2 linked regions of the Canis lupus familiaris genome follow. The protein of the gene in region 2 interacts with the protein of the main gene of each other region in a pairwise test. Links are inferred from orthologs where the notes say so. Each region holds a gene or a part of one and is shown on either strand. Other genes may lie near its edges.

What was found. The genes of interacting proteins can lie anywhere in the genome.
Region 1: the proteins of CCND2 (region 2) and CDKN1A interact in binary tests that used the Homo sapiens proteins (3 or more experiments, as listed by UniProt). The link is inferred for Canis lupus familiaris from reciprocal best matches to the Homo sapiens genes CCND2 and CDKN1A.

The regions. Positions count from the first base shown.
Region 1 is NC_049233.1:5,926,830-5,931,028, forward strand, and holds the start of CDKN1A (cyclin-dependent kinase inhibitor 1), read left to right. Parts: upstream 1-1,399; 5' UTR 1,400-1,519; intron 1,520-4,199. UniProt on the Homo sapiens protein: Plays an important role in controlling cell cycle progression and DNA damage-induced G2 arrest. Involved in p53/TP53 mediated inhibition of cellular proliferation in response to DNA damage.
Region 2 is NC_049248.1:5,513,135-5,516,634, forward strand, and holds part of CCND2 (G1/S-specific cyclin-D2), read left to right. Parts: intron 1-1,501; coding exon 1,502-1,650; intron 1,651-3,500. UniProt on the Homo sapiens protein: Regulatory component of the cyclin D2-CDK4 (DC) complex that phosphorylates and inhibits members of the retinoblastoma (RB) protein family including RB1 and regulates the cell-cycle during G(1)/S transition.

The DNA.
Region 1 (4,199 bases), on a different chromosome or scaffold from region 2:
GGGGTTTCCCTCTTTCTAGAGCCACTTAAATAGAGAGGGCAATGAGCAGAGAGCTCTGAGAGGCACTGGGCCTATGCTCCAATTATAGCTGTTTATTTGCTGTGTGACCTGAGTCAGGTCACTGAACTTCTCTGAGCCTCAGTGTTCCCAGCAGCGTAAGCGGATTGTGCGGGGGAATATCCAGGAGATAATTTGCTAACCAAGTCCTTCCCCCTTCCTAGCTATCAAATCTGTTGCAATCAGAGGTGCCTGGGTAGTTCAGTTGGTTTAGCATCTGTCTTTGCTTCATGATTTTGGGGTCTTGGTATCCAGCCTGGAGTTGGGCTCTTTGCTCAGCAGGTAGTCTGCTTCTACCTCTCTCCCTACTTCTCCCCCTTCCTCTGCTCCTGCTCTCTCTCTGTCTCATTCATAAATAAATAAATAAATAAATAAATAAATAAATAAATAAATAAATAAATAAAATCTAAAAAAAAAAAATATGTTGCGGGATCCCTGGGTGGTGCAGCGGTTTGGCGCCTGCCTTTGGCCCAGGGCGCGATCCTGGTGACCCGGGATCGAATCCCACGTCGGGCTCCCGGTGCATGGAGCCTGCTTCTCCCTCTGCCTGTGTCTCTGCCTCTCTCTCCCTGTGTGTGTGACTATCATAAATAAATAAAAAAATAAAAAAAATCTGTTGCAATCATAGAGATCTCTATTGTTGAGGTGAGAAGGAGGTGGATGTGGGCACGAGGAGGAGGGGTAGGGAGGTTGGTTCAATGTCCAATTTCCCCCATTTCCTGCTTTCCCCTGGAGACCTGGTTGACCTTTTCTGAGTATTCCCCATTCCCTCCTTCCCCGGGGGCATTGGGCGAGCAACAACTTTGCATCCGTTTAGTCCTGAGGTCCTTAATTTCTTCATCTGTGAAAGAAGGGGGATCGAATCCGGTTCTGGTCTCCAAGATGCTTTGTTGGCGTGTCTGGGTGCTTGGGAAGAGGCGGTCTAGTGAGGGGTCTGTGGGAAGACTGGCGGTATAGTGGGCTTTTCTGGAAATCGCCGAGCGAGGCACATCCTTTATGCTTTTATTTATGGAGTGTTATCTATGAATGTCACCCCTCGTGATCTTCTCGGGGCCAGAAGAAGGGCTCATCCTAAGAATGCCATCCCTTCGTGGGGAGTGCCAACTCCCAACCCAGCGAAAACAACCCCGGTCTGTGGCTCAGTTAGTGGGGAAACATGTCAAGCACAGGGACCCAGGCGCGGGGCGCGGGGCGCCGGGCGCGGGGCGCGGGGCGGGGAGGGAAGCGCCCCCCTGCAGCCCGCGGTGTAGGCGTCTGACTTCGGAGGTCTCCAGCCGCCGGCGAGTTGCGAGCTGCGGCGGCGGACGGCGGCAGAAGGGGCGGTGCCAGGCCTGGGGGCGGGGCGGCCGGTCCCTATATAAGGCGGCACCGGGCGGTGCCAGCTCGCGAGCTGCTGCGGGAGACGGTGGCTTGGAGAGCGGAGGCGGGCGCGGATTCGCGGAGCCGGAGACCCTCGGAGGAGGTGAGGGCGTTGTGGCCGGCGAGGGGGCCTGGGCCGGCGGCTCGGAGCCCGGCCGAGGTGTCCGCCTCGTGTGTGTGTGTTAGTGTCCCAGCGGGTGAGTGTGTGCGTGCGCGTGCCGTCTTCACAGGTGAATGACGTGCGTGGGTCGGCGCGTGGGGCTGGGCTCGGCTCCCACGGGTGTCTCCGGAAGGTGCGCTTGTGCCGGAGGTCGGGCTGTGTCGGAAGCCCGGGGCGGCGGGAGCGCAGCAGAGCGGGGGATCCCCTGCCGCGCCCCCCGCCCTGGAGCCAGGGGAGGCGTGGACTCGCGCGCCCCAGGCCCCCGGCGGCGCGCGGAGGGAGCCCCCGGGCGCGGAGCCCCCGGAGGGGCGGGGAACGCCGAGCCCGGCAGGTTCACCGCCCTCCGCTCCCGGCGGCTGCGATCCAATCCGCGCCGTCTCCGCCCAGACCCCTGCGGCCGGGGTCCCCGACGCCTCCGCGTCCGCCACCGGCTGGGCGCTGAGGTCAGCGCGGGCGGCGTACCCCCCCCGGTCCTTGGGAACGTGTTGGGACACATCCTTTCAGGGCAATCGAGGAGGTGACTCACGGTGACAAGGAGACCCCGGGAAATGGGACGGGTGCGGTCAGAGCCCCGCCCGGGCTGGGGGACAGTGGCGCCCCAGAAGTCGGCTTCCTCCCCGCCCCGGGTGTCTGTGCCCCGATCGGCACAGTGACTGTTTGGCTGGCACAAAGTGTTCTCAGGGAAGCCGGGACATCGGGAGGTCCAGGACTGGGTGTCCGGTCCCCGCCTCGCAGCGCGCCCTCGGGGACCCGGAGCGGTGGCCCTGCGCGGGCTGGGCTCGCTCCAGCCGGCCCGTGGGAGAAGAACAGGGGTCGGACACACCTGTCCTCCTTCGCGCCCCGCCTGCCCTGGGGTCGGGGCGCCGCATTCCGCAGCGGGAGGGGAGACCTGCGCCGCGGGGCCGCGGGGCGTGCAGCCCACGCGCGGGGCGAGGGACCCGGAGAGGTCCCATCTGGAGGCTGGTCCCACCCTGACGGCCACATCCGGGGGCTCCCGGCGCCCCTCGCCAAACTGCCCTGTCCGAGGGCGACTGCTCAGCGCGCAGCGAGAGGACGAGCCGTCCTTTGGGCGCCGCCGCCCAGCGCGGGCCACCGTGCACCCCCCCCCCCGTCGGGGGCCCTCGGGGGACACGGGCGCCCGCCTCTTGCGGAAAAGAATCTTGGAATTGGGTTTGGCGCTTTGGGGTGCCCGGGCGGCTCCCTCCCTGCCCCCCCTTCCCTGCCTCCACGTCGCGGTTCGAGGACTGTCGAGCGGTTCTGTTTTCCTTGCTTTCGTCTATTTTTATTTTCCAGGGATCTGACTCATCCCGTGCTTTGGGCGTGGAGATAAGGTGGAGGGACCAAACCTCTGCGCGCCTCTGCGTGCGGAGTGTGTGTGTGTGTGTGTGTGTGTGTGTCACGGAGGCGCGCGCGTTTTTCCAACAGTGGCGGGGCTTTCGGAAGCCTGGCTGGCTCAGCGTGACGTGTTCGCGGCCCCCGGTCCGCCCCCCGGTCCGCCCCCCGCCTCCCCTCCCCACCCGAGGGTGACGCTGCAGCCCGAGCGCACGCAGAGTTGTGGCGGGCGGGGAGCGCTCCGCAGGAAACTGACTCATCGCTGCTCGCGGCGGCGGCTCGCGGCTCTGCCCACACGCCGACCCTGCGCGTGATTTCCTGGAGACCGGCGCCCCCGTCCGGCCCCGAAGCGAGTAGCAAGCCCGCCTTCCCTTCCCGCCTCGCTGCGCCGCGGCTGAGCCTGAGCCGCAGCTGCGAACGCCCCTGAAAAAGCATGACCCGTTGGCTCATCGCGGGGTGCTCAGTGCTTACTGGTTACTTCGGAATTAAAACTGGCTGAAGTCTAAGACACGAAGGCCAACCAAGGATGCTATTCTCGGTTGTTTGTGAAATAAGGGTTTATATTTGACTTTTCTCTGAACTGGGAGTTACGATAATGGGAATGAGATCAGATTTTGATGAGGAGCCTATGAGGGCCATAGGGTGGTAGGAGAGAGGATCCTTGCCTGGATTCTGGTCCCATCTTGAGCGCCTAGAAGCCTGGGAATACTCAGCCTCCTGGTGAAAAGCCAAGGCAGGCTCCTCCTCCTTGTGCCAGTGAGGCCATCCTGTGTATCCTCTCTTGAAAGGCACCCCAAGAGTGCCCATATGGGGAACTGCCAAACACCTGCTTAAATCCCCTTTATTTTATTATTTTTTAAGATTATTTATTTATTTATTCATGAGAGACACACAGAGGAGGCAGAGACACAGGCAGAGGGAGAAGCAGGCTCCCTGCGGGAAACCGGCTGTGGGACTCTACCCTTGAACTCCGGCATCAGGCCCTGCACCGAAGGCAGATGCTCAACTGCTGAGCCAACCAGGGGCTTAAATCCCCTTTAGTTTGAGTTATTCTGGGAAGAGAGGGACCTATCAACCTGTATTTTTTAAAAAGCTCCCTAAGTGATTCTGCTGGGCCTCTGGTTAGGAACACAAAACTAGAGAGGGAGTAAGGATGAACACCAGAGCACGGAACCCAGGATAAACAGGCCTGGGTTCAAATCCTGGCTGTGCCACTTGTGAGCCATGTGACCTCGGGCAAGTTACTTTACTTCTCTGAGGTCTTAGTTACTTCTTCTGTTAAAAAAAAAAA
Region 2 (3,500 bases):
CAGTGGGGTCATCTATAAAAGGGCTTTAATGGGATATGTTGCTTAATAGGGAAGTGGACAGGAGGAAGGGAAGGCATTAGGTTCATCTGTTTTTATAGTTTCAACCTGATGTGCCTGCTAGAATTTGAAGTGTGACCCAGGTCCTCCCTCTGTACCTCCCTCTCACTATCCCCACCCACCTCCGCCCTTGCCCAGCTCTATACGGGCAACTGCAGGAGTGCTAGAACCAGAGGTGACGCACTGGAGGATTTGCTCCACTCCAGGACTGACTAAAGGGAGTGACAGTAACCTCTCTAGCATATCAGAACAAGGCACAGGTAAGGGCAGTGTGTCAGCTCAGGGGTCTGCCCTTCCTCATCCACCATGCGAGCTCCTTCTCTGGTGGGAGTGTGGGTGAACTGGCATGTTACACCGATAGGACTGTATATGTGGGGCATCAGCGGGCATTAGGAACAGCAGCAGGAGTCAGGTGTGGGTGCCCTTATCTCTTCCTGATAACTGGGCAGTAGGTGATCTTGGTCACCCAGCCTCTTTGCGGGAACATTCAGGAAACTGAGGTGTTTGGTCTCCCACGCTGAGCCCTCACCGGCGCACAGGAACATAGGAACATACCCTCTGTTTGCTTTTGGAGAAAAGAAAGTGGATGGGGGTTTGAGCTCCTTCAACTTATTCTCACTTTGTACTTCTCTTAGCAAACTGCTCTTTTTTTTCCCCCAGCAAGAAAATGGGACCTTTGGGCCCAAGAGCCATACAACCTAAACAAAGCCATCCATGTGGTTAGGGTGCAGTGGCTAATACTGGGTGCTTGCCTTCTCTCCTTATGTTCTGAGGGTCTTGGGCTAGAAGTTGGGAATTGTGTGAAACTTGGCCCTCATGCCCTCCATCCATTACTGCTTCTCTCCCCCACCCCCTTTTTTAAAAAAATGAAATAAAATCATCTTTTGTTTTGGGCCATCTGTCTGTTGACTGTCCACAAATAATAGGGGCAATATTACATCAGGATTATCATTCTTCATATCATTTTACCTGCTTATACTTTCCCCACCTTCCACCATCTAGATCCCTTGGTCTGTCTCACTTGTACGGCACCTAGGTTACCTTGTCTGGTCTCACCTCAGCCCTCCCAGCTCTGCTCACTGTGACTGCAGAGGACACTGCATTTCTTACCTTCCTGCCCCTTACACGTGCCAACCCCAGACAGGCTCATGGAGGTGAGGGGTTGGGGACGAGTCCCCTCTCTGAAAATTACTCTGTGTATTCAGATAAGCTGTCCACCTTCCCTGCCTCAGTCTCTCCATTGGAGCTCTGGACCTGCCACAGTAATGGTAAATAAATAAAGGATATCTTGTGAAGGGAGACTCAGGAGAGGATGTGTCTGTAGGGTGAGGAGTCACCTGTGCAGCTGACCTTTCACCATCCTATTTCTGAGGATCTTCAGGCCGGGGAGCCCCCAGATCCAAATTCTTCCTGTGCCTTGACCTTCTGCCTCTCATTCTCGCAGACTTTAAGTTCGCCATGTATCCGCCATCGATGATTGCAACTGGAAGCGTGGGAGCCGCCATCTGTGGGCTGCAGCAGGATGAGGACGTGAGCTCCCTCACCGGCGATGCCCTGGTGGATCTGCTGGCCAAGATCACCAACACGGATGTGGTAGGTGGACGCCATCTTCTTGGTTAAAACCAGATGTCTCTTTTCTCAGTTCAGGAAGAGACAGTCGGCTGGATGATGATGTGTTGGGAGGTATATTTTTTCGTTTTTGGTGGTGGTGGCTTCTATTTTCCAAGATCAACATCCAAGGTAGTACGAAATTCAGTAGGTGAGGCTTCCTTGTAAGGGTTTGAAAGCCTCCGTGCCAGAAAATAGAGAAGAGAACCTAGCAAGCAGACACAAGGTGGGAGGAGGGCTGTTTACTAATTTTCCTTCGTGGTGTGGGCTTCCCCATGAGTCTGAATTGTTGTTTCATGTCCATTTATGTACATGTCCTCAGGCTGCCTCTCCCCCACAGTGTCGTGCTCTGCTTACACCCACTCGGGCGGAGACACAGTGGAGAAGGGACTAGAGCCGGCTGCTGCCCTGGGGGCGGGGGCGGTGGGGATCCAAGAGGTGCCCCACCTCTAGACCGTGTCTGGCCTTGACACACCTCTCAGCCCCACCCGCCTCTCACTTCCCCTTTTGTTTAATGTGGTAATGGATTAAAAAGTACTTGTACAAGAATAAAGAACCATCATAATTTAAGGAACTATTATTAGCTATAGATTTTTCCACCCCTGTGCCCCGTGGACTGCCCAGAGGATGTAGTTCTGCTTGCCAGAATTTGAAGCTCCTTAGAAGAAAGGTCTTGAGAGACCAGGGTCAAGTGAGGCTCTGATTCTGTTGGTAGGAGACTGCAGTCCTTTAAAGGTCTAAGCTAGGGTGGCTGTGAGAGGCCAGAGGGGCGGGTAGAGACTTTCCATGAGAGGTGCAGAGGACTGGGGCACAGGGGTAGGGTGGGGGCAGTAGTAGAGCTGGGACAGAACCTGGAAGCTCCGACTCCCCGTCTCGGAACGTTGTACTCCACCCTTGTTATAGCTTCTGAAGCTTTTTGTTCAAGAAAGTCCTCTGCTTTTTAAAGGCAGTTGGAGAGGCTTGTCAGCAGGGAGGCCCTCATGTGGCACCACGGAGAGAATCAAGGTGCAGGGGAACATCACGAAGCGCCCCTCTGGATGTTCCAGGTAGCTCCTGAATGCCCTGCTATGGGAATATATTGAGTTAGGAGATAGCGTGGCTTACGGGCCTGTGGCTGATGCCCCATCCGGGATGCTGAGCAGAAGGTTGACAACTCAGAGTGAGGACCACAGCTTGCTGGCTCTCTCACCTTCCCACCTGCAGTTTGCCTTGGTCTTTATTACTGTCTTGAGGAAGTAGTGCACGGAAGTATTGAAGGGCCTCGTGGAACCAAACGCAGGGTTCTTAAATATGCTTCTAAAATTCTAGGTCCTAAACATGGGCTTTAAAAAAAAAAAAAAAGGGCTCGTACGATACCACCTGGTATCTAAAACACAAATTGAAGAGACCCCTCCAGTGTGCTTCACGTGAAGAATGCTTTTCTAATCCTCCAGAGGCAAATCTTGGGACAGAACTTAATATTTATAGAAATGATAAGCTTTCTTCCTTTTCTGAACATCTCCTATTAAGGCTGCCTTACAAAAAGGACTCCCAACCAGCTTAAGACAAGCTCTTGCTCGACCCCCAGAGACAAAAATGTCAGTGACAAGAGTCTGACCCCCAGGCATTGTAACCTCTTTCAGATATTTATAGACCTGCTCTGATTGGCGGGTTGCCCCATGGGTCTCTGGCCTTATCACCCCTTACTAGTTTCAGATGGACAGAGGTCACTACTGAGGTGCCACTGAGTCTCTTCCGTTGCCTTTCCAGACTGCAAACCAGTTTCTCATCTTATGCTGGAGAAACTGCTTGCCCCCTTCAGATACAATGTAGCCAGTCCATCCAAGTTAGCTGTC